Arabidopsis thaliana: one gene and its partners. The protein of the gene in region 2 interacts with the protein of the main gene of each other region in a pairwise test. Each region holds a gene or a part of one and is shown on either strand. Other genes may lie near its edges.

Region 1 (8,249 bases), on a different chromosome or scaffold from region 2:
TTGGAAGAAGGTTTAGATTGATGCTTGAATTTATCATGTTTTCTGTTATAGTGGAAGAGCACTAATTGGGTCACTTCAAATTTCCAAAACGGCACCAATATTGAGTGGATTGAAAATTGCTATCAAGCTAGTTCTCAGTCTCTGTTGATTTTCAATTGGTATTTTTGCAAAATTGGTTTCTGTGTCTATCTTATACTGATGTTAAATAATTGTCTTATGCTTAGGTGTTAGTGACAAGGATTTTACTGAGCCTTGGTCTGTTTACACGGTAAGAAGGAAGGCCTCTGGACAAAAAAGAAGTAAAGACGCATCTTCCTCTACTAGTGCAGCAGCTCGCATTCGTCTCGACTTGTCATCAAGCTCTGGGTATGAAACCCATTCGATCATATATTTGCTATGGGAAAATTGATTTGGCATGGCTAATAGTAGCTAATGTACATATGGAATCAGGATAGAATGTAGTTCATGCTGACTAATTTATTGATGCCTGTTCTTTTGAAAGAATCTTGTCAGTAAGAAATAGTAGATGAGATAACTTTTGTTAGTGTTACAGTTAACTTTCATCAAATTTGTTTAGCATTTTGTGGGCTGTTTATAATCAACCATGTTGTTGTTAGTTAATTTTCTTTGAAATTTGTATCACAGGAAGAAAACACGTCAAGCTAGTGAAAACAAAAAGAAGACCTTGAAAGTGGCTCCAAAAAAGGTGAATTCAGGAAAGCTCTGGCTGTTTACTTATCAGAACTGTAATAATTCTATGTTGTTATCATCTTTCTGCGAAAAAGTAGTCAATACTTTGATCTATTGGTTTTATGGCTCTAGCAAAGTGTATATCAGTGCATTGTATGTTTCAACATTGATTGTTCACAACGTTCTTCTGCCACATGTCTGAAACCAGTGCTACACATAGTTTGAAGTGAATTGCCTAGTCCTTCAGTTTCATGTATATTCTTCTTTTTTTCAAAAGTTGGATTTAGAATATTGTCACGAGATACAGTGGGATTACTGTTTAATGAGATATGCAATTTGGAACTCCCATTGTTCAGTTATAGAGCCTTATGACTATTGGTAACATATAAGTTTGCTCCAAATCTAATTCTGCATTTGTGGTTACATTACAGAGACAGCGGACGGTAAAGCAAGAGAAAGAGGATCCGGTTAGTGCAGCTTGTCAGGATTATATCGAGAAGCAGAAAGCTTACTTTGCAGAGATTGATGCATTTGAGCTGCCAGTAGAAGAGGTATCTAATAGCGACTCAGACTAAGTAAGAAGAGATAACAATCTTAAGGATATCATAGAGACACCATAACCCGTTCGTAATCACTGTATAGCTAAGGAGTATTCTCACAGGAAATGTTTCACTGGTCACTTAGTACACATGACACGTCAAATCTGTGTATACAAAATATCTATCGGTTTATAATATTTAACATCGTTTCAGTGGGAGAACGTTCTTGGTTCTACTTAGACATGAATTGACGAAAAAGCCTGTCCACAATACACAGGTAAGGCCACGACTGAGAGACAAACTATATACTTACATTCACACACCAATAACTATAACACTCTCTGTTCAATGAGGCGAAGCAGCTCATAGAAAAAACCAAGCTTTATTCACATAATCAAGCTTTATTCATGTCGCTGATGATTAGAGCTTTACCTGTGGTCTCATGTCTCTTCATACCCTCCATTGACCCAGAGAACAGAGCTCTTGTCACACTCCCCATTGAAGAACTACAGCCAAGTCTTCCCCCGTTGGAGCAACACAGAGTCGAGGTTGGTGAAGACCTAAGCTCATCCTCTTCGTAGTTAGCGTACAGAAGTGGCGATTTTTTGTCGTGACTCATACGTTTTTTCAAAGAATGTGGTGGCGAGGAGGAAAAGGAAGATGAAGATGACGTAGAAGACCAAGAAAACGATGAGCTTGCCGTCTTCTTGCTACCGTGATTGCTCCTCCTGAGATCACTGAACATGGAGAAGGACAGAAACTTACTTAGTTTTGATCTCACCTTGCTTTGCGTCCTTGGTGTCGACAAAATCCCGGAGGAGTAGTATGAGGGCGGCGGTGTGAGAGGCAGAGGAAGAGAGGAATCGGAGCAGAGGTGGTTTTTGGGTGTTCCTGGCCTTGACTCCCATATGAATGGTATGGAGGCTCCGCCATAGTAGGAGGATCTCTCTTCATCGATTGCAAAGTCATCTTCTAGTCTTTCTGACATCTGTTTTTTATAAACTCTCGGTTTATGTTTGAGTCGGCTTTTGATGAGAATTGATGTACGAAAATTGAAACAACAAGTGCTAGTTTCGAAGCTTCTTTAGAGGTGACAAAGAGTAATATGTATTGCGAGTAAAACAAGTTTGCCGATGAAACAAAAGAATCTTCTTTGCACGGTTGTATATAATCGTGGATATTTATTCTGCTTTTTTATTTTCTTTAGGAAAAATTCATATGGATGAGCATATTACAAGTATATGGAAGATCATACATAGGGGAAAAAATTGGTTAGATAATAAATGAAAGGTGGCTATCTTACTGTATGCATTACTTAATGCGTTTTCATTAATAATAAGAGAGTCGTGAGGTGAGGATCACATTATTGGTAAACAGTTACTGTAGTAAGCATTGCTTAGAGTATTTAATATGTTACCTTTTGTGGGATTCCACTCTATAAACCTTTTTATTTGGTGTTCTTATAATTAAGGAAATAATTATTGACCAACAAATCCACACGTTTTAATATATATCAAGACTACTAACCTTGTTTGTCGTAATTTGAAACTACTGACCAAAAGTTTGGGGCATGTTCATCCAAAAGATATAATGGTTTACATTTAATGAAATGATAATTTAGATAGGATATAATAGGGAACTACTCAGAGTGTCAGACCAAACCATCTGAATACGTACCAATGTCAAGTGCTAACTGGTAACTCCCAACAATAGTAATTAGAAAAGATATATATATTTGTCGGTTCTAATTAGTTGGAAGAAACGTATGCGGAGAAATAAATAGAAACGTGAGAGATCGAAAGACGACGGTGATGAATTTGGACGGTTGAGTGAGGGAGGTCGTATAATTTAATGGTCGTTTCCAATCGTATTCGTACGTGGTCCGTTTTCTCCTACTCGGATTTTGCTTTAATGTGATGGCCACACAAATTGGTTAGAAAACTATAAGGGAAAGCTCCACCTATTTATTTCACTCATACATTTACTATACACTAATATCGCACGGGAAAATTATAACAATTTTCGGATATTCGTATTTGAACAGAAACAAACAACACATACGTAAGAATTTCCTTCACAAAAAAGCCCAATATAGACGAACTTGAACTTCGTACCAACGGCCCAATATCGCTTCCTTAATCAACGGCCCAAAATTTTCATTTATTAATTAATCAGATAACCAATCAATAGAAGCCACGTCGCCACAGCCATTAGTAGTAGCATCATCAAAGCCTGCATTCTTGTTCTTCGAGTCTCTCTCGTGAGTGACTTTCATTACCGAGAAAAACACAATCATAGAGAAGCTCTCAATCTTGTTTGCTTCTGATCAGTAACTATGATTACTGTAAATAGATCACTCTTTCATTATCTTTCCCTTTCACTTGTACAAACCAATTCGTTCTCGAGCTAACGGAAATGGCGGAGAGGCAACAGAGCCCTGCGGCGGAGACGATTCCCGGTACACCCGTAATCCGGGAAGTGAGAACCGGAACCGGGTCCGAGAATTTCAACCCGGAGAATACAAGGAGAGGATGCTTGAGAGCTGAAATCGACATTTCTCCACAGTTATATGGTGGTCGTGGGTTCTGGGTTCCCTTCAATCTTGAAGACAATTACGTGAGTTCTCTTCTAGTTTCCGATTTACAAAGTCTGTTCATTTAAAGTTTGAGCATTAATGTCACTGAAAGTTTGAAATGTATGTTCTCTAACTGTTAAGTATGCTAACAAACTGAATAACTGATAGCTGATTCGATTTGGTTACTGAGTAGATATTTTGTAATAAGTGATAGCTAATTTGATGTTTGCATTTGCGGCAATTGATTCTGGAACTAGCAAGATGTTATGTAAGATTTTTTTTTGGTATTATATAGCATGATTTGTTTTATGTTTTTTTGGTTTGTCATTCTTCAGGACTGTGTGGGAGAATTTGACATAAAGAGAATGGAAGAACAGACAGTGGAGCTTGAGAAGGATCTGATTATGAAAGAGTTAGAGACTCTGGATCTTCTTGAAGCTCTTGGATCAACCAAAAGGATTTTTGAAGATTTGAAGTGGCAGCTTCAGCAGCAAGCACTGAGATGCAAGGAGACCCCTCAACATTTGCGTTCACACTCCAAAGAGATGGTCGATGAGCACTGCCATCGTAATCCCCTGAAGTCTCCGGATCTGATGACCATGGAAATGAAGCAAGCTGGTATGAATCTTTGTAAAACCATGGATGATCTTGCGTTGATCCACTCTTATGCTGAATCTCTGAATATGAAAACGAAGGAAGAGAAAGATGTCCTTGGAGTAGCGTCTCTAGCGGAGGAACTTAACAGTTTGAAGTTTAAACCAGCAGGTCCTGATCAAGTAGAGAGATTCAATACCGAGAATTTACCAGTGAATCCACAATGTGAACAGATTAAGATGGTAGTTGAAACCTATGATACAGCTTTCCATAAACAGAGCAAAACCTGCCCGAGAACTGCAGATATGAGATTGGTTGCTGCAAGAAAAATGGAAGAGGCAGCAAGAGCAGCGGAAGCACTTGCGCTTGCTGAAATGACCATATTATCCAGCAGAAGAAACCAAGACGCTCTCTGCTTCCCTAAGACACCATGTTTTCCATTAACACTTAAAGCACAGATGAACAAAGAATTATCCACCAATGTCTCAAGAATAGAGATCTTGAGGAAGCTGGAGGAAGCTAACGAAGAAGTTAAACAAAGTAAACAAGCCTTGGAAGTTGCGTTAAACCGGGTAGAAATCGCTAGTGTGAAGCAACTTGAAGCAGAAGAGGCATTTCGGCAGTGGAACATAGAGTCATGGAAAGACCAGAAAGCTGTTGGAGCAAAACGCTCGATGAAAAGAGAAAGCTTTCCTCAGCGCTCTTTCTTGAGCCATATCAATCAGCACGAGCCACTGATCGATCTCCCTGAGCCAATGCTGAAACGTAACGTCTCAATGGGTAATGCTCTTAACCGAAAAGATGAGAAACAGTTGGTCACGCCGAGGAGAAAGTTTAGGTTCATACAAACACATCAAGCTTCCATTAGAAAAACAGAGTAAGCTAAAAAAATACCCAACCTTTGAAAACATGTTTTGCACATTTCGATTCCTGTTTTTTTTTATTCTTGGTTTGATCATTGATGGGTGTTGTTGCTTCCATCAAAAGCAAAACACAGATGATTAGAGTGAGATGTGTTGTTTTGACTCAAATGTGACAAAAAGAAAAACATTATAGTAAAAACTAAAGCTTCTAGTAATCATAATTAATTATGGGAGTTAGTGAAGGGCATTGATCATATGATTTAGGTGGTGGGCACTTTCTTAACTAATGCATTTTAAGTGTTAGATTAGCTAATTAGGTGATCCATAATCAATACCGTAGGTCCTCAACTGTTTATTTTTTAATAACGTTGGTCTTTATAATGTTTCTAGATTCTCAAAATAGAAACTGAAACATTCAGGTTGAACTACGGAGATAAAAACACATTTTACGATTTGACCAGTTTGTACTTTATACTGTATAAGTTTGGAGTGGTCAGATACAGAATGATGACGTGGTCAAGGCTTTTAAGACAATCTAGATATCTCCAATAACTTAATGCCACGTGTTTTAGTCTTCACAACAAAGATTTCGTCTGGAATCCTCGTATTGGCTTAGAGCGTGGGACCAAACGAAACCAAAAGAAGGAAAAGGAACTAAATAAATAAATAATTAAAAAATAAAGTTGAAAAGTAAGAGTGGCGTGGGTTAGCAAAATCATTGTCTCAGGCTAAAATGTGCCACTCCCAACACGTGGGCTACTCTTTTCCAAGTGTCAACTATCTGACGGTACGTTTGCACTTTTTTAAATTAGGTTGCTTTGCGCTCGTTTCGTGTCAATAATCCAAAGACAACGTCTTTATCTTTATTTATTAATTTTGTTTCTCCTAAACATTAAATGTTGTAGCTTTTTGATCATTTTTCATGTTGTAAAATATAATATAATACCCTCTGCTTTGCTTATAAAACGGAAAGGATGCATAGTACACAAAGATCCAGACCAACAAAAAAAAAAGAGGGAAAATCTCCTTGTTCAATAGTCAATAAGTTAGCCGCTATCGATCTTTAGAAAGATCCGTCGATGAGTCCATCCCATGGCGACCGGACCACCGCATTTGCCTCGACGGATCTAGTCATGTTGAGCATGGTACCGGTATTCAACCATCCTTAATTTCATTCTTTGATACCTTTTAGGCATGATACTCTTGATATATGATTCTATAAAGGTATATATATTGAAACTATTTTATGTAAGAAGTTTATTATTGAGGGCACACGTGCAGACATGTTTCAGGCTTAACCATATGGAGAAGGGATGATAACGAGATCTCTCTAGACGTGGATGGGATTTTCGGTTCAAAGATGGAATATTCATATAAATTCACATGCGGATTATAGTTAAATCGGAATAAAGTTTTGATAAGTGGACTCTCCTTACCTAAGTGGGGATGGTAGTCCAGTCTTGTATCAATATATATATTTGGGCTAACTTAGCATGCATATAGAATCATTATCAATGTGTTAGAATATTCTCCACCTATGTTTCGTTCATCCCAATTCCCACATTACTTCGAAAGGTGTCTCAAAAGGCAAGTCATTTTTTCTGGCTATGTATTATTAAATGAAGCTTCGGTTACTAATACTTTTCCACAATTTTCCCCCCTAATTTATTATAAGTGTTTGTAATGGAGAAAGGTTTGATGGAATTAGTAGTTTCCTTTTATGTATGAATGTGATATGTTTTATATTGTAAAGTAGGTTAGCAACTATTTCACTAGAAATCTGCAAAAAGCTACATTATTTATCAATGGCCAAAAAAACATTTGTGGCTAAAAATGAATGGCCACTATAGATACCCTATGGCTATCTAGCTAGCCGTTTCCATGAGAACAATTTATGAGTTTGGAGAGCATGTTTGATCCATAGAAGCAGAATGTGGAGGCTTGAAGGAGGATCGAGACCAGCGAGATTGGTGAAGAACCTTCAGATTGAGTTACTAAAAGTGCTAGAGAAATAGATGATCTTGCGTTTCGTTCTCTTGATGTAGCGACCCCTATCACAAGTATAAAAATATGGAAGCAAAAACAAATTCTGAAATTACATATTATTAATCTTTTGTGCCATGGGACCGCTTATACAGGCTAAGACAGACAATATCTTAAACCCTAAACATTTTCATTTTCAATGAATTTTACATTCTTAGCAAAACAAATTAACAAACAAAAAAGAGAAGAAAAAAAACGATTCCAAGTAGCTATCGAATATACAAACCGTTCACCGTTTCTTAATTTGGAATGATGGACTAAAACCAAGTTAATTTATGTTAAGAGTACAGACTCGAGAGCAGGCTGAAGAGTGTGCCATATGGAATTAGTATTGAACAATAATTATATTACTTTTGAGAGAACATATTTATACATCAGAGATTAGGATTTTTCTATCTACAATTACACTTAAGACTTTTACATTTATATAATAACATTTTTCCTTTACATAACCCCTCAAGATTGGACTGACTACTCCACTCTTGGAAAAAATGTTAATTTGAAAAAGGTTAACGATTGCAAGCCAGTGGATTTGTCAAGGCATCGACGAGTTGGTCTTTAGATGAAAGACAAGCAACTTGAAGTGTTTTTTAAGTTATTAGAATATTCCTAATTAAGTGATATTCGAGGGCAAGATGTTTCATTCTCAAATGGAACATCGGATTGGCACATAAATATGTTGCGTCCACATTAAATGACGGGAGTAGATGATGTAATTGAGATGCCAGGCTATGAGATCCAGTGAATTTCAGAAGAGGTATTTGGCACTGAGTTGTACTACCATGTAGCTTTAAAGCTACCTGAAAGTACTGATGCTAGAAAGAGAAGAAGAATAACAACAATGTATGTTCTCATGAAGAAATACCAAATGTAACTATCTCTTTTTCAAAATACCTAAAACAACAAAAATATTACGAAGGATGGTTTTGTAGACCATAAAGTCAT
Region 2 (8,413 bases):
TTAAATGCAGTTTATAAGCGATTTGTCAAAGGTTGTCTTTTTTGAAAGAGTCAAGGAAAAGTATGTGTGAGGCCAAGAACCAACGATCCCCTTTTGAAACGTGAGGAATCAATCTAACTTTTTTTTTCTAACGTTAGGAATCAATCTAACTTTATTAAGCTTGGTTTTGGTTTCTATCTTAAACTAATCAATTTACTACAATTTAATAAAAAATATTTAGTTTATTCTTAAACCAACCAGTTTACACTTAACTATAGAGTTACTGTTTTATAACATATAGTTCACTGAAAAAAAAGGATGTATAGAAGAAATATGTACACATAACACATGCATGAGGTGGAAACTTTGAACTGTTGAAACGCTGAAGTGGAACTAAAGTCTTCAGAGAACTCTAGAAACGAAAAGTACATTTAAAAGAATCTATAAGAATATACCTTACAAAAATATATTTTCCAATGACTTTGTAGTGTCATTAAATATACAACGTAAAACTTTTATGAATACTACACCTCTTGCTGAGGTCGATTGCTTCTCTCACTTACCCTCTGGATTTCAATTTAACAATTTTAAGATATGGGAAAACGAGAGGATATATATATTAATTTTCTCTAGAATTTTGTATGACGGACTTGAATCAATAGTAGCAGTAGTAACTTAAATTTAACTCACACAACATTGCATTCCTCACCTAATGTCTAATGAACAATTTTCAATCAAATTAAATTGTAACAACTCAATGGATGAATTTTTGTAACTCATATAGATTTTTGTCTATGTGCTGAGTATATTGGATGGTAGGCTCTTCGAAGAGGAAGGAGGAAAGGAAGGTGACGTTAGCCGCAAGCAAATGTATGATTCGTCTATGTTGATGATTAGACAAATGCAAGCGCTCGGACAAGAATTCATTGAGTAATCTTAAAGGAAATATTAGGAATGTTCATAGAATTTATCTTTGTTGATTATGTTAAAACTTAAAGAGATTTTCGGTTCTATTAAGAATTCTTGGATGAAATTCATCTAAACCACAATTTCATTCATATGACAAACTAATTTGTCATCAAAAAATGTTTTTCCCCCTTTTATTGCTTAAGGCATATCTAGAGAAAGAGTAGTCACACATAATTTATTTTTTAATTAAAAAAAAATTATAAACAAATAAATAAATAATCTCAGGAAAAGCATAGAATACATAAAAATTTAAGACAACAATTAGTGACTTTACATAAAAACACAAATTAATAAAATATAATCTTTCACATTTTAATAGACTGATAATTAGGTATATGAATATATTCAAGCTACACGACGTATAAATACATGAATCTTTGTAGTATCAACGAAAGTAAATTAAAGATTAAATTTCAATGGAGATTAATAATGGGACTTTCATCGTCATCGACATTGAAGGATTCAGTATAACGAGCAGCATCACGAGCACACCTGGTAATTTTTTCACAACCTCTATGGTAATGGTTAACTGGTTGTTTGACACATGAATTGGGGTTTTTATAGCCACATGCCGGAATTCGGTCTCCTTTAATAGATCCGTACCCTAATGTTCTTGCTTCTCCACTTCCACAAAACAAAAACATTACAAGCATCATTGTAGCAAATAGAAAAACAATAGGACTCTTCTCGTATGCAACCATATTTTTTTTTGTTAATTTTCTTCTTAACTATTTTTGGGTTTAATTTGCTACAAGAATTAGTGAGTAATTATTGTATACATTGTTTCAGAAATTTATAATGAGACAAGAGTTGGTTAATAAAGTTATGTTGTTACATATGCCAGGGAATAATACATATTCATGGAGTTCATTTGTCATAAACATCTCTTTTTTTTGGGTTTGTTTTTTTAACTGTGATATTTCAAACAGATAAATCAAATTTTGGAAGGTTTGTCAATATGCCACTATGCCAGCAATGTTTTTTGTTACATAACAAAGTGTAACTAAAGACTTTTGGTATTTGTGTATTTTAAACGGTGAAAACTTGAAAAACAAAACTACAACATCTTAATCTTAAAGGTCAGTAAGCATTAATCTTCAAATTAGAAAAGAGTGAGTTGGAAAACAAGAACAAATTAAGCTTGTGGATGGGTCATGTTCGTCGTACTATATGGCCTCTTGTTTCATCCTAAAATCATATTTCGTTCGAAAAAATATATTTTAAAACAAAATTTGAGTAATTGATCTTATATGTAATAAAAATTGTCTACAAATATTAGAAAAATATTGTCCATAATAATTTGTATACTTCAAATTAATTTGTCCAGTTACTAGTTACCATTGTCTGCCTGAAAACAAAAATTGTCACCCTAGAATTTCTATAACATTTAGCTAGACATCTTGCCTAAAGGACTTCCGATTAACATTACTTAACATAAAACTTGATAAAGCTTCAGTTCCATGTCAGAAAAGTAGGAACGGTGGTGGTACAGCGGTGGAAGGTTGTGTGCTGCGGAGAAGCTTTACATTTGGACATAGAAGGAGGCTTTGGGGGATGTTTTCTTCGTCGTTGAGAGAGTGAGATCGACGTAGAACCATCGGCACAAGCTCCGGCTGAAAAGAAACAAGAGATGAGATGAGGAGAGAATGAATACTATGTTGGAGAGGAATAGAAGAGGAAGAGAAAGCCTCTCAATTTTTTGCTTATTTAGAGAGATGAAAAGAAAGAAGAAGATGTTAGCCACTATGGCATACTAGCTAGAAAAGACTTTGGGCAATATGGCATTTTCAGAACTACAGTGATGATAATATGGCTTCACTGTTGATAAAATCTTGTTTTAATGTCCATAGGAGTATTTGTGTCTTAGGAAGTCTTAGATTATGTAGTGATTTTAAGAGTTTTTGTGACATTTCGTATCATTTGGGAGTTGGAAACAAATAAGATAAAAGAAAATTCAAACACATGACTAAATGTGTTCGTGCTTCCAAGGATGGTCGATCAATCTCTGAAATTATGATCGTCCGACCACATGATGATCGATCCAGCGTTCAAAACATGGTCGACCCACCATGACCGAATACTATATTGAAAATTTTACTTGTCCAAGAACTACTAGGTGTTCTTGAAAAAAAAAAAAGATAAGAGCTATATAAGTTAACCATCTCAGAAAATCTTGAGATTGTTGATTAGTTTAGAATCATCTAATACGAGTGTATGACGAAAATTCAGAGAAAATCTTTCTTATATTACACACAGACATAAGACATAACTCTGGCTCTAAGATAATTTATGTCATTTCTAAATCAACTGCAAGTATATTCACACCGAAGTCCCTAACTTTAAAATCATTACTCGTTCCTGCATTGCTCTCCAAAGGGTGGCAGAAGAAGAGCCAATCTTGCCTTGTACCTCGCGATTCTCTTTAACCGTTCTTCTCTCAATCTGCAAACAAAACAAACCACACAATTTTGTTCAAAACAAAAAATATTCAATCTTCAACCATCGAACTTAGCTTTGATGATATGTTGTGGGACTCACCGAGCGCGGACCTTCTTAGCTCGGTCTATATGTCTTTTCAAAAGATCAGATTCTGACAAATGTTTCACAGATTCCTCGTCCTGAAGCTCATCAAGAGAGTTGAAGTAAATAATCAAACTTAGCTTTACCCTTCACAATTACCATTTTAGAAAGAAATCAGAGAAACACGAAACCTCTTTGTCTTCTTCGCAAATTGCTTCTTCAACTAAATCTTTTGGCAAACTTGTCTCCGTCTTGTCCACAGGTAAAGGCTTTGGCAAACATGTCATCATATCAATTCGCTGCGGCTGTAAACAACGTCATTAATCTTCCAAAGATATCAAGAATAGATATACAAAAATCCAAGTGTTGCATTATACTACAAAGCAGAAATAAGAAATGGATACGAACCTTAATTCCCTCATGAGCACCATTTCTCAACCAAGATCGACACAGCGAGTATAAAGAAGCTCCCTCGGTTATTCTAACCTGCAGAACAAATAAAAAGTATTTAAAATTCCTCAAATGGCGAAGCAAGCGGTTTCGAACGATAATGCAAAACCAAAAAACAAGGATAAAACTATACCTTTCTTTTTCTAACGAGGACCAGAGCATCATCCCGGCTCCTAAACACCATGGAAACGAAACAGAGACATTATTAAGTTTCTAGAGTAGTTTCTAATTAACAAAGCATAATGGCAAAGAAGATAAAGTACCTGGCCTTCTTATGCCCACTGTTGTCTAGAATTGAAGTTGGAGAAGGAGTAGCCTAACAATCAAAAATCCAAAATTTACAAAATGTAACCTCACACAAATATCTAACAGAAGTTTCAACCTTTCCTAATTCATTAGAGATTGCTATTCGAATTCTACAATCACCAAAGCAAATAATCTTCACTTCAACATACACATTTTCACTAACTAGCACAAGCTACAAAAAAAACACTTGACAAAACTATGGAATTAAACAAAAAGATTCAAACTTGTTTTGGTAACGAAAACGATAACTAACCCGAGGTTGCAAAAAATGAGGAACTCCTTTCATATGACCGGAACCAAGTTGAGGAGATTGTTGATTCTGAGGATGTGCAGCTCTCATGAACTGATTCATTGGATCCAAATTCGACACGAATTGGCCATGGTGGTATCCGTAAACTGGCCCTCGAGGAGTATACCCACCTGGACTAGGACTACCAACTGGATCAGCGACGGAATTGGAATTCTGTCTAACGGGTCGGGTCGGAAACCCTCGACCCGAAGAACCAAACGGGTATATCAGACTAGACGGGTCTGGGTGAGGAGGCTGATGAGGCGAATTAGTAACGGAATTCGAACGCCTAATCGGTAAAGGGTTAGTGTAGATATTTTGATGAGGATGATGACGATGAAGCGGAGCTATGGCTCTGTACGACGAAGCTGGTGTTTGAGGTTGAGGTTGAGACGACGGCGTTATGACTGTGTTAGGTTGTGTCACCGGAGATTCAGATGCGGTGACGATTGGAGTCGATACTGCTACAGAGACGGAAGGATTTGGATTTGGATTGGGATTGGGATCGGGAGTAGACATTGTTCCGGCGGATTTTGATTTCTGAGAAATTTGGGGAAAATCAAGTTAAAGACAACGATTCAAAATTTGGTAGCTTTTTCTTTGATTTTCAGGACACGAACTCTTTTTAAGTTCCTTCTAACTAACTAAACTAGGGCTCGGTATTTAATGTTTTGGTTCGGTTTTTTACTTTTTTCTACTCGGGTCCGGTTCAATGTGAGATTTACATTAACGAAAATTAATCCAGGATTTTAAAATGCTGATTTAGTTACGGCTGAAATCTTTTTGGGTAACATTTAAACCATAATGCAGCCATCGTATGGTTGGGTTCGGTATTAAATGTGACCTTAGTTCTAAGTTTCACAGAAAGAAGTGTAAGCTGTCTGAATCTTGAATTATTTATTTTTCCAATAATAATCCATAAGCTGAGATATCTGGCCACAGCTCAGAGAATGTGTAAAGTTTAAGACTCTACATAAAACATAATGGATATGGGTGGGGTATATTTAGCAGCAGCACAAAAACAGGGGATGATCATCATCTACAAAAAGATTCAAGATTCTGTAATGGCAGCAACATGAAGCTGTTGTTGTTGCATGAGGAAGAAATAGCAATGCGCATCTGAGTGAGTTTTAGAAGCCGGCCCATCCAGCAGGTTGAGCTGTTTTCTGGTTTTCTCTCATCTTTGAGTTCCCATATCTCTGTGAAGTGCTGTTTCCAGAGCCCATAGATCTTTGTGTTCCAGATGCAGAAGTAGCAGCTGCAGACGTTGCAGCGGCTCTAAAGGATTCTGTCTCGAAACCCCATGGCTCAAAACCTTGAGTACCTGCAGCAGAAGCTGGTTTACTTCTGGTTCTCACAGACTGATTAATCGTATTATTGTTACCCTTTGATGCAGATTCCATCACGGGTTTCGCTTCATCACTAAAAGGTTGCCATGAATTTGTATCAGAGCTGCCAGTTGACCAGTTAGATCTGTCCTGTTGAAGTTCCCACATTGTTCCTTCCATCTTATCTCTCTGTTTCATCAAGAACATTAGAATTCTAAGATATACATTGATGAAGACTTTTGTATGGGTGTCTAAGCTTAGATGAACAAGAACCAAGAATAATACCGATGGAGTTGATGACATGGAATGCATCCCTGGAGAGGGTTGATTTTGTGAAGAGTCTCTGCTCGGTGACGGTGAGGCACTTTTAGAGGCAAGTGTTTGTTTGAGATCCTGCAACTCTTGCCTTTGCGATCTGCAGATAGCAGAAAGCTTTTCAAACTTAGCAGTTATTTCTGCCTTCTCTGATTTTGTTTGCTTCAACTCGTCTTTTAACCTCTGTATCTCAGCTTCCAATGCCTCTTCTTTGCCAGGTTTATTACCATTATCGAACTTTGTGGTATCAAAGTCAGCAACAAACGAGTTGAAGGCATCATCCTTGGACACTCTTGTCATGTTATTGGCTGCAGCAGGAGTTGTATTCTTCTGAGAAATCGTAGTTTCAAGATCTTTATTTCTTTGAATACCACGAGCCTCTCCTCTCACAGGACTTGGTTTTTTGGGTTGATGACTATCCACACGAACTCTTTCAGATTTAGATGTGTTACTGTTTGGTTCATCAAATTTAGGCATGTTTTTGTTATCTTCTGATACAACTGAGGTTTTAGCATGCTGAGTCGCCCAAAAGGCACCGAGCGGTCCTCCACTATCTGATTCTCCAGAAGATGGTGGCGGCGGTGGCGGACTTCTACGAGGTGCTGGAGAAGGTTTAGTTGCTGATTTTGATGAGCCTGTCAAAATTCATAAGGATCAAAAGAAATCACATCTTTCTTTGAGAAGCTATCCAAAATAGGTTTTATTCACTATACCATCATGGACTCCAGTAGATTGCATTTCAGGTGGTCGATCCGGTAATGATTTCTGTAAATTAGCAGGAAGCTGCTCATTGACACGAAACCAAATCTGTAGATGGACATGTTGTTAGAGACATTTTACATTTCCTCAACTGAGAAGAAACAATGAGTAAAAATTGACTTTTAACCTGTGTAATATCTGGTCGTTCATCGGGTGAAGCTTGGAGCATTTCTTTGATGAGATCCGTAATAAATACACTGTATTTAGGCGATTCTGGAATACGATAATTCCCGTTTAAGATTTGCAGCTTTGATTCTCCATCAAATGCATTCTTGAAATAGCATATCCGAAACAAGAGACATCCAAGAGCCTATTTTTTTTTAAAAACAAACCTTTACTTTCAAGTTTCAACCAAATAGATTAGCAATCTGGAGAGATTGAAAAAGTGTCATCACATACCCATATATCGACCTTCTCGCTTATCATCTCCCTTCGAAAGAGATCCCACATCTATTGCCAATAAAGACATAAATCAAACATTTTTTCACCACTTTTAAAACTCTTATAATCTGCATAGGTGCATATCCAGTCAAACCTCAGGAGCTCTATATGTTGGTGTTGTGTATTTTCTAATATTATCTTCTTCAATTCCCATCTCTTCTGCTCTTTCAAAAATCTTGTGATTTGTCGAAACGCTTCCAAAATCACACAATTTCCATTGTCCATCTGAGCTCAATAGAAGATTCTCAGCCTTCAAGTCTCTGTCACGATTAGCAACACCAATACAGTATCAATTCACATCGCTTGCTAATGTAAAAACGAAACGAAATCTAATAATACAACATGTATACCTGTGAGCAATGCGTGGGGATTGACAATGCATTGCAAAGACAGCATTACACACATCTCTAAAAATCGTAAGAGCTTGTTTCTCTTCAAAGTAACCAGCACCTCTATTCTCAAGCACATCCACAAGAGATTTACCACAAAAATCCATAGCCAAAAGAGCTTCTTTTTTATTCCTCCCCATATCCAAGATACCATGTGCGTAGAGCGTGACAACATTTGGATGTCCCTTGAGGGATTTCAGAACCGAGATCTCTTTCATTACGAGTTCAAGTGACTCCTCGTCATTGCATATCATGTGCTTCAAAGCATATTGCTTTGACGCGTGATTTACATCTTGAGCTAAGTAAACACTGGAGAAACCTCCTTCCGCAATGACATTTCTAACTTGAACTTTCAGATTTCCTATCTCGAGAAATCGACCTTCGAGACCCGCAGGTTCTTTTTGAGCAAAAGGTTTAAACTTCCACATGTTTGAATCAGTGGAAGTAATAAGAATGCTGCATAAACATAAAATCTGTTACAAAACCAAACAAACTTCGGAGAACAAGATATCATGATCAATAGGAGATGCCAAGATCCTAATGAGATATTCAAATACACAGAACAAAAACAAAGATAATGATAAGCACCTAATCTGCTACACAATTGCTCAGTTAAGAAACCAATCAAACAGATCTATTCTTATATGACCAATAAAGGGAGCTAAAAG
Region 3 (7,746 bases), on a different chromosome or scaffold from region 2:
ATATTTGTTGTATCTAGAAAGGTGAAATTTGGTCAGGAATTGTGTTCTTGGAGCTTATTGGTTGGTGAACAACTGTTGAAGTTACATGTTGCTTGTGCCGATTATGATTTATCTCTATAATTGAGCTATTTATCTCAATTCCTAGCACTTGGTTTCCCATTACTAGAACCTTGGCTTGTTTTGTGTATTCTCAGGTAAATGGGTAAGTAGCAGACAGATCAGATGCAACTGGGCGACAAAAGGTGCTACTTTTGGCGAGGACAAACATAGCTCTGATGGAAAAAGTGTTGTAGAACTTACTAACGGATCTTCAGGTTTTCTTTTGTTTACTGTGCAACTTCTAAAATTTTTATTTTCTTCCTCAAAGCAGATTTTCATGGAGATTACATTGATATAATACTTGATTTTGCAGAGGATGGTAGAGAGCTGTCAAATGAAGATGCCCCTGAAAACAATCCTCAATTTACAACTGTCTATGTAGGAAATCTCTCTCCAGAAGTAAGTTGTCAACTTAACGAATTGTTCTTTATAAACACTGCAACAGCTCCTGGGGTTTTTCTTTTTGGCGCCTCGTGACAGTTGTCAATCTTGCAGGTAACTCAGCTTGATCTACACCGTCTATTCTATACCCTTGGTGCTGGAGTGATCGAAGAGGTCCGTGTCCAGCGAGACAAAGGGTTTGGTTTTGTGAGATATAACACTCATGACGAGGCTGCTCTTGCTATTCAGATGGGCAACGCTCAGCCTTTCCTCTTTAGCAGACAGATAAGGGTATTTGCTTCAGTTAATGTTACATAGATCTATCTGTTGTTGCATCTACGTAGACAACCAAAGTCTGCTTGTAATTGGTTTTTACCAGTATTCCCCTAAACCCATTTCCTTGTTTCTGTGATTTATTGCAGTGTTCCTGGGGAAACAAACCAACTCCATCAGGCACAGCCTCAAACCCACTTCCCCCACCAGCCCCGGCATCAGTCCCTTCTCTGTCTGCAATGGACCTCTTAGCCTACGAGAGGCAACTGGCTCTAGCCAAGATGCATCCTCAGGCTCAACATTCTCTGAGGCAAGCAGGTCTTGGAGTCAATGTTGCTGGAGGAACTGCAGCTATGTATGATGGTGGCTATCAGAATGTAGCTGCGGCCCATCAGCAGCTCATGTACTATCAGTAATAAACCCTCTTCACTGGCTCTGAGATACCTTTTTCTGTTTCTTTCTTTTTCTTCTTCTTAATTTTATAACTTTCTTGCTTTTTCTAGACCTTCCTTGTTCAAGAGTCTTTATGTATGTGTCTCTTTCATTTAAAGCCGTTGGTTTTATTTATGTATGCAGAGCTTTATGCTCAGTTTGTAACCTATAGGTCTTACTTGGATTGTAAGCCAAGCAATAAGACAACATCAAATAAAAGGGGATTTGGTTTTCTGGGGTTAATGTTGTTTGTGGTTCTGTAATGATAGGTTTGAAACAAAGTAATTTGTCTTTTATAAAAGTTTTATAGTTTCATTTCTCATGTTAGTACTTTATTTTGTCGGAAATCCAGTTTAACTAAGCATCAAGTGTTCTGTCCACGAGTGTCCTTTGCCATGCAGCAAAGTATATAATTAAGGTTTTTTTATTTGCCTTTGTCGTTCATAGGATGTAGTAGAGAATCTTGATATAGGCTTCAACATTTAAACGATTAGAGGAAATTGGCAGGGTTCAAATAATATTTTCAAGACCCTGTAATAGGGTACATTGATTCAAGAGACATTACATTTAATACTGACCTTATCAGTAAATATTTACATAATTACATGCATAGGTTATTTATATTTACACAAAAACCCCGTAAGATTTTTCTCTCTCGGCTTGTTCAACGGTCCAACGCGTTTATCACAATCCTGCATACGTACACAAAGCATATCATAAGTACACACATAAAGAGTTTGCCCACAACAACAAAAAAGAGAATTGATTAGGAAATGAAGTGATAGAGATGATAACCATTCATAAGTAGTTAGACTTGCTGCATCGTCTTCGCCAGAGGAAGGGATTTTGCCGGCAGTGAATGGTCCCAAAGCATAGCATGGTGTCCCAGCTGCATAAAAATGTGTTTGACCCAAATGTGAGTCTTAATTTTGTTATTGTTAATTTAGTTTAAAGGGAAGATGAGAAATATATACGGGTTAAAGGTGTCCCAGGGTTGCTGCTTGAACAGGTTGGAGAATCCGGATCCATTTTCAATTTACGGAGACCACGAACATTGTTATTCCCCTTGGTAACCATGATGCTTCTGGTGACTTGGTCGCTTGAGAGAGAAGGAGGAGAAGATCGGACGGTGGATAATGAATCGTGCTTTCTCAATTTCCCGAGACCATTGTCCGGCGTCGGTCCGGCCACCGTTTCATCCCACAGCTTGTGTAGGAACCCCATCCGATCAACAAAAATTTATCCAAAAATATATAACAATATTTTTTCAAATTATTTCGGGTTTTTATTTTACTGTCTCTATCTTCTTTTTTTTTCCTTTGCAATGGAAATGGTTTTATAGAGGTAGTAGAGAGGTAAGGATGAAAGAGAAGAGAGAAGCATTGAATATTTTTAGTGAGGTTAATTATAAGCTTTGGCTTAATTAAGGAGATTTTAATTTAAGGATAAATATGCTGACTAATCCAATCATTAGTCTCTAATCTCATTGGTGAATATTCTATAAGCTGTGTCTTAACTTAGAATCACAAACTACTAGTTCAGAACTCTACTTAAGAATCACAGAGGTTTTCAACAAGCTATTCAAGTTCAAAGCTTTTTAATTTGCCCATGTTTAAGACAAGAAGATGGATAACAATAACAACAACATGATGATAATCAGAGTCATAACTTCTCTACATTTACACATCCCACAAGGCAGTAACAATAACAACAACAACAACATCAAAACCTAAAATCCAGCTTATCATAGCAAATATCATAGGAACATTTGTGTGTTCAATTGTCAGCTACTTACATTGCCGTTATTCTTGCCATTGCGATCATCATCATCATCAACGATCCTCCTTTCTCCTCGCTGCCTGCTCCTCTCTTCCTCTTCTTGATTGTTCTGTGTTATCTCCAATTGAGTTTTCAAGAACTGCATTCTCTGCAACTCCATCTCTTTAGCAAATTTCATCCTCTCCTTTTCCAGTTCCGCCATTAACTTAAGCTTAGCAGTTTCCGCCTTCTCATAAGCTTCCGTAAATCCAAGTATCGCCCTCGCCACATCTCCAACTCCACTCCCTCCACCTCCACTCTTATCCACCTTCAACCGCTTTGGCATATGAAACGAAAGCGGTTGAATCGGTTGCAAAGGTGGGAGACTCTCAGCAGATTCCTCAGGAGAAGCCTCAGGTTCAGGATCAGACTCAGACTCAGTCTCAGAAGCACTACGTTTCCTAAAATGCCACCGCATCGAATCAGAGCCTCTCTTCTCTTGTTGTTGCTGCACAATCTGATTACCTTTAGTTTGCCGTTTAAACATACTCGAACGGCTATTCCCAAGAGCTCCTCCCATAGGAGCCTTCTCTGAAGCTTTTGAAGAAGCAATGAATGTTGTAGTACCACCAATCAAACTCTCAAGCTTCTTGAAGAAAACCCATTTACTAGGTCCATCACCAGAAGCAATCTTAGCTTTCTCTTGCTTATACTTCTTCTTCACCGTATCAATTCTGTTCTTACACTGAATATCAGTTTTAGGGTATTTGCATTGACGACTCTTGTTCACAATCTCAGCTACTTCTTTCCAATGTTGTTGCTTCAAAGTTCCTTTACCTGGTTCAGAGAATCGATCTCCCCAAGCTTCGATTAGAACCTTTGTAGCTTCTTCGCTCCAACAATCATCTCTTCCTCCTCCACCACCACCGCTTCCTCCTCCTCCTCCTCGTCCGTTTCTGTTTCCGCTACCACCACCACCGGTTACAGAAGGAGTATGAACCACTAACGCTAAAGCGTTCATGGACGGAGATTGAGAAGAAAGCCCCGGTTGTGGTTTCTTCACGACGGCCACCGTCACGTCGTTTGTTGGCAAAATCGGCGGAGAAGGAGGAGCTTGTGGTGAAAGGGAAGAATCTCCCGGAGATGGAATTGACTGAATCTCGTCGTCGTCCTCCATGAAAAATCGATCGATTCGGAGAAGGTAAGACGATCTGAGGATTTTGCAAAATTTTGGATCTGAGATTCGCTCACCGGCGAGGGGATAAGGTCACCGGATAGGTAATCTCCGTTATTGACCCGATGGATATGTTAAATGACGAAAACACCCTTCACTCTTTCCTTTAATAACAAAAGAACAATATTAGAAATTTAGAACCGTGACAGTATTCGAATGGTTTTATGGTAAATACTCAAATATCGCTATAAGGTATTTATGCTTTGGCCATTTTTTCGTTAGGAATATTGAATATACACACTGACGGATTTCAAAATTTCTCTAATATACAAAAGTATTTTTATTTTCTTGTCTATAGTATGGTTAGGTAGGTTGTCTCAAGTCTCAAAAACTCTAACTAAAATAAAACGAGATAAATCAAGTCTAATGGGCTAAGGCCTGGAATAACTTTCAAGGCCCAATAAAAACAGATATAAGAAATAAAAATACAAAATAGAACAAAGACATAAATCAAGTCCAATGTGCTAAACGGCCTATAAATAACTTATAAGGCCCAATAAAAGGAGATTTAATGACGTGGAAGCTTTTGAAACAACTCTCAAGTTCACTAGTTACTTCTAGAAATTTTCTCTGGAACTTTCTAGCTCACTGGTGTTTACTCACTATATATCAATGGAGTGAAAATTTCAAACCCCATACTATCAAATCGAAGAAGAGGAAGATCCAATTGGAAAGGGTTATCCTAATTCCCAGGTAATGATCCTATTCTCTGTATCGATCTTTTCCTGGAAAATTTCAGAATTGTTGATTTTTTTAACTGTTTTGTTTTCTGGCAGTCATTGATCGGAGAAGATGAGTGCTGTTGCGATTAACCACTTTTTTGGCTTACCGGAGGCGATCGAGAAGCTAATTCTCCCGATTTCTCGTTCCGGCGAAAGTAATAACGAGAGTCGTGGAAGAGGAAGTAGCAATAATATCCCAATAGACATTTTGGAATCTCCCAAAGAATACATATTTTATCTCGATATCCCCGGAATTTCAAAATCAGATATCCAGGTATTGATATAATCCCATAGAAATGTTGAATTGTTTATGAAATTAGGGTTTTTTTTTTAATTTAATTTATGATTTGGGGGTTTTGGTGGGAAATTAGGTTACAGTGGAGGAAGAGAGGACTTTAGTGATAAAGAGTAATGGGAAGAGGAAGAGAGATGATGATGAGAGTGAAGAAGGGTCTAAGTATATTAGACTCGAGAGGAGACTTGCTCAGAATTTGGTTAAGAAGTTCCGGTTACCAGAAGATGCTGATATGGCTTCTGTAACGGCTAAATATCAAGAAGGTGTTTTGACAGTTGTTATCAAGAAGCTACCGCCACAGCCGCCGAAACCTAAGACTGTTCAAATCGCTGTTTCTTGAGTAGTTTCTGTGTTTTGTTTTTGTGTGTGTTTGTTTTCTAGTTTGTAATTTTTCTGTGTTTGGATAAAAAGACTCTGTTTCTTTTATGTGTTCTCTTGTCGAAATTTTGAAATTGAAGAAATAAATAGGTTTAGCCTCCAAAACCAAAAACAAATAAAAACGTTGTCGACATTACCACCATAAGATACTCCTAAGGCACTGGGCTCTACAAAATTTTTGTGGATTCTACAAGATTAATGTTATAGGAAAAATTCTAAAAAAAATTCAAACTATTTTTTATTTAGAAGTTTAATACCCAAATGTTTTTAGTCAGAAAAAATACATATACAAATTAAAACATACAAGAATTAATATCTAAAATTTTATATGTTGTTATTTTTATACATGATTTTATGAATAATTAAAAATTTCAATTTTATCTTTAACTTTTTAATTAATTATTTATTTTAATTTAAAAAAATTATTTTGGTTCTCTTTTAACCGGATTAAACCAAATCAAAACTGGTTATTACCACCACCAAATTTTGTTCTTGTCATGTTAACCCGATGAGCTTTCCCAATCCAACAACCAACACGCCAATTGTCAATCTGGGCTTTATAAACTTTCTAGAGCTTCCCTCTTCACCAACACCATGTTAACCGACTCTTACCTTTGCAAATTCTTCTCTACGAACAAGAAGCTGGTTAACACATCGACGAACAAAACTCGGTGGTGGTGATAACCAGTTTTGATTTCGGTTTAATTCGGTAAAAAGAGAACCAAAATATTTTTTAAAAATAAAATAAATAATTAATTAAAGAGATAAGAGTAAAGTTGGAAAATTTTGATTTATTATAAACTCGTGTATATAAAAATAACAACACATAAATTTTTGGGTATTAATTCACATCTTTTAGTTAATATATAAAATTTTCTTCAAACTAAAAATATTTGGGTATTAAATTTCCAAATAAAAAATAGTTGATTTTTTTTTTTGAATTTTCATGTTATATGATTACTTTACAAACTTTCTACGATGGTTAATTATTATATTCGTTTTTTAGTCTTCTTCTGTTTAGATGAAATTCGGTTTTTGGTTTTCTTGGGTATGGATTGAAGCCATGATATTTATGAAGAAAAATGAAATAGTGAGGAATTAACGTGAAAATGAGCAAGATATATGTGTAGTACAGTGGCATGAGTTGTTCCAGAACCGTAATGATATTAAGTATTAATTTATAGAGGTCTCACTCTATTAGTATATAAATAACTTTCATATATGATTACATGTTTAATTAAATGGGTAGAAACCAGATAATATATTTTGTTTTTGAGTTTGAATAAAAAGTTTGCGAATGCGTTGTTGCTCTCTGTTGTCGAGATTCTGATGAATACATAAAATAACCATCAACAATTTTTTTTTGTATTATTGTTTTTTAAGCAAAATATTGTAAAATGCTTCTGATATATTAGAAGGACCACGTAATTAATATTCACATTATTACATTTAATATAGTATCTACTCTGTACCATACATTTTTAGTTGTCTAGCGATTGATTTCCTTCACCAGGACCACTTACACCTTTAGCTAAAGTCACAGCTGATAATTGATTTCATCAGGGCCTGCACAACTTCAAGTCCGCAACAACCGCGTGGCCAATAGTTGGGATACATCTTGTTTCCGATATGATCATATATGCATAATGTTTGCACAAAAAAAAAATCAAGATATATTTTTATAGCAAATTTCTTTTTTTTTTTCTTTTTTTTTTCAGCAAAAGCTCAAATTCCTAATTGTTTGATCAAACTTAGTGTTCCTTCTGTTTTTAGAAACATAATGTTTTGGATTTTACACAAATTAATAAAAAATAATTTTTTATTTTTTATTACTCCTTGTATCATAAAAAATGATTTTCAGAGGTTTTCATTTTGTATGAAAAAGATTGATTTTCTGTAAAATTTATCAATCAATGTTAATAAATTGTGAAATTTTAAAATCATTAATTGAGAAATTAAAATTTTGATGAATCACTATTGGTTAATAGTTATGACTTATGAGAAATGGTTTAGTATGAATGCATAGTACATTTATAACTAAACATTAAATGTTTTTCTTAATTGATGCAAAAACTCTATAAAATCAATATTTTTGATACAGATAGAATATTATTTTGTTAGTTTAATAATATTAGTTCCATTTTTCTTTTCTCTATTGGTCACAAATAATGTTA

The links. The genes of interacting proteins can lie anywhere in the genome.
Region 1: the proteins of AT2G32840 (region 2) and AT3G56270 interact in a two-hybrid assay, tested with the Arabidopsis thaliana proteins (one large-scale study listed by BioGRID).
Region 3: the proteins of AT2G32840 (region 2) and ASIL1 interact in a two-hybrid assay, tested with the Arabidopsis thaliana proteins (one large-scale study listed by BioGRID).

What each region holds. Positions count from the first base shown.
Region 1 is NC_003074.8:20,866,576-20,874,824, forward strand, and holds AT3G56270 (WEB family protein (DUF827)), read left to right. Parts: upstream 1-3,424; 5' UTR 3,425-3,644; coding exon 3,645-3,845; intron 3,846-4,139; coding exon 4,140-5,279; 3' UTR 5,280-5,532; downstream 5,533-8,249. Other genes in the region: AT3G56250 (uncharacterized protein), read left to right, coding at 225-366, 646-706, 1,122-1,241, 1,507-1,581; AT3G56260 (uncharacterized protein), read right to left, coding at 1,624-2,217.
Region 2 is NC_003071.7:13,929,805-13,938,217, forward strand, and holds AT2G32840 (proline-rich family protein), read right to left. Parts: upstream 5,146-8,413; 5' UTR 5,033-5,145; coding exon 4,478-5,032; intron 4,235-4,477; coding exon 4,182-4,234; intron 4,092-4,181; coding exon 4,052-4,091; intron 3,955-4,051; coding exon 3,877-3,954; intron 3,774-3,876; coding exon 3,660-3,773; coding exon of another isoform or gene 3,624-3,659; exon of another isoform or gene 3,567-3,623; coding exon 3,487-3,566; intron 3,391-3,486; coding exon 3,297-3,390; 3' UTR 3,035-3,296; downstream 1-3,034. Other genes in the region: RALFL16 (RALF-like 16), read right to left, coding at 1,362-1,649; AT2G32850 (Protein kinase superfamily protein), read right to left, coding at 5,644-6,030, 6,127-6,791, 6,870-6,963, 7,043-7,225, 7,315-7,365, 7,451-7,616, 7,707-8,173.
Region 3 is NC_003070.9:20,177,346-20,185,091, reverse strand, and holds ASIL1 (6B-interacting protein 1-like 1), read right to left. Parts: upstream 4,483-7,746; 5' UTR 4,121-4,482; coding exon 2,969-4,120; 3' UTR 2,718-2,968; downstream 1-2,717. Other genes in the region: UBP1A (oligouridylate-binding protein 1A), read left to right, coding at 195-314, 413-498, 595-771, 903-1,169; AT1G54070 (Dormancy/auxin associated family protein), read right to left, coding at 1,850-1,877, 1,981-2,074, 2,160-2,409; AT1G54050 (HSP20-like chaperones superfamily protein), read left to right, coding at 4,970-5,173, 5,271-5,534. UniProt on the Arabidopsis thaliana protein: Transcription repressor that binds specific DNA sequence such as the GT-box-like motif 5'-CGTGATT-3' in the AT2S3 promoter. Negative regulator of seed maturation genes during seed germination and seedling development.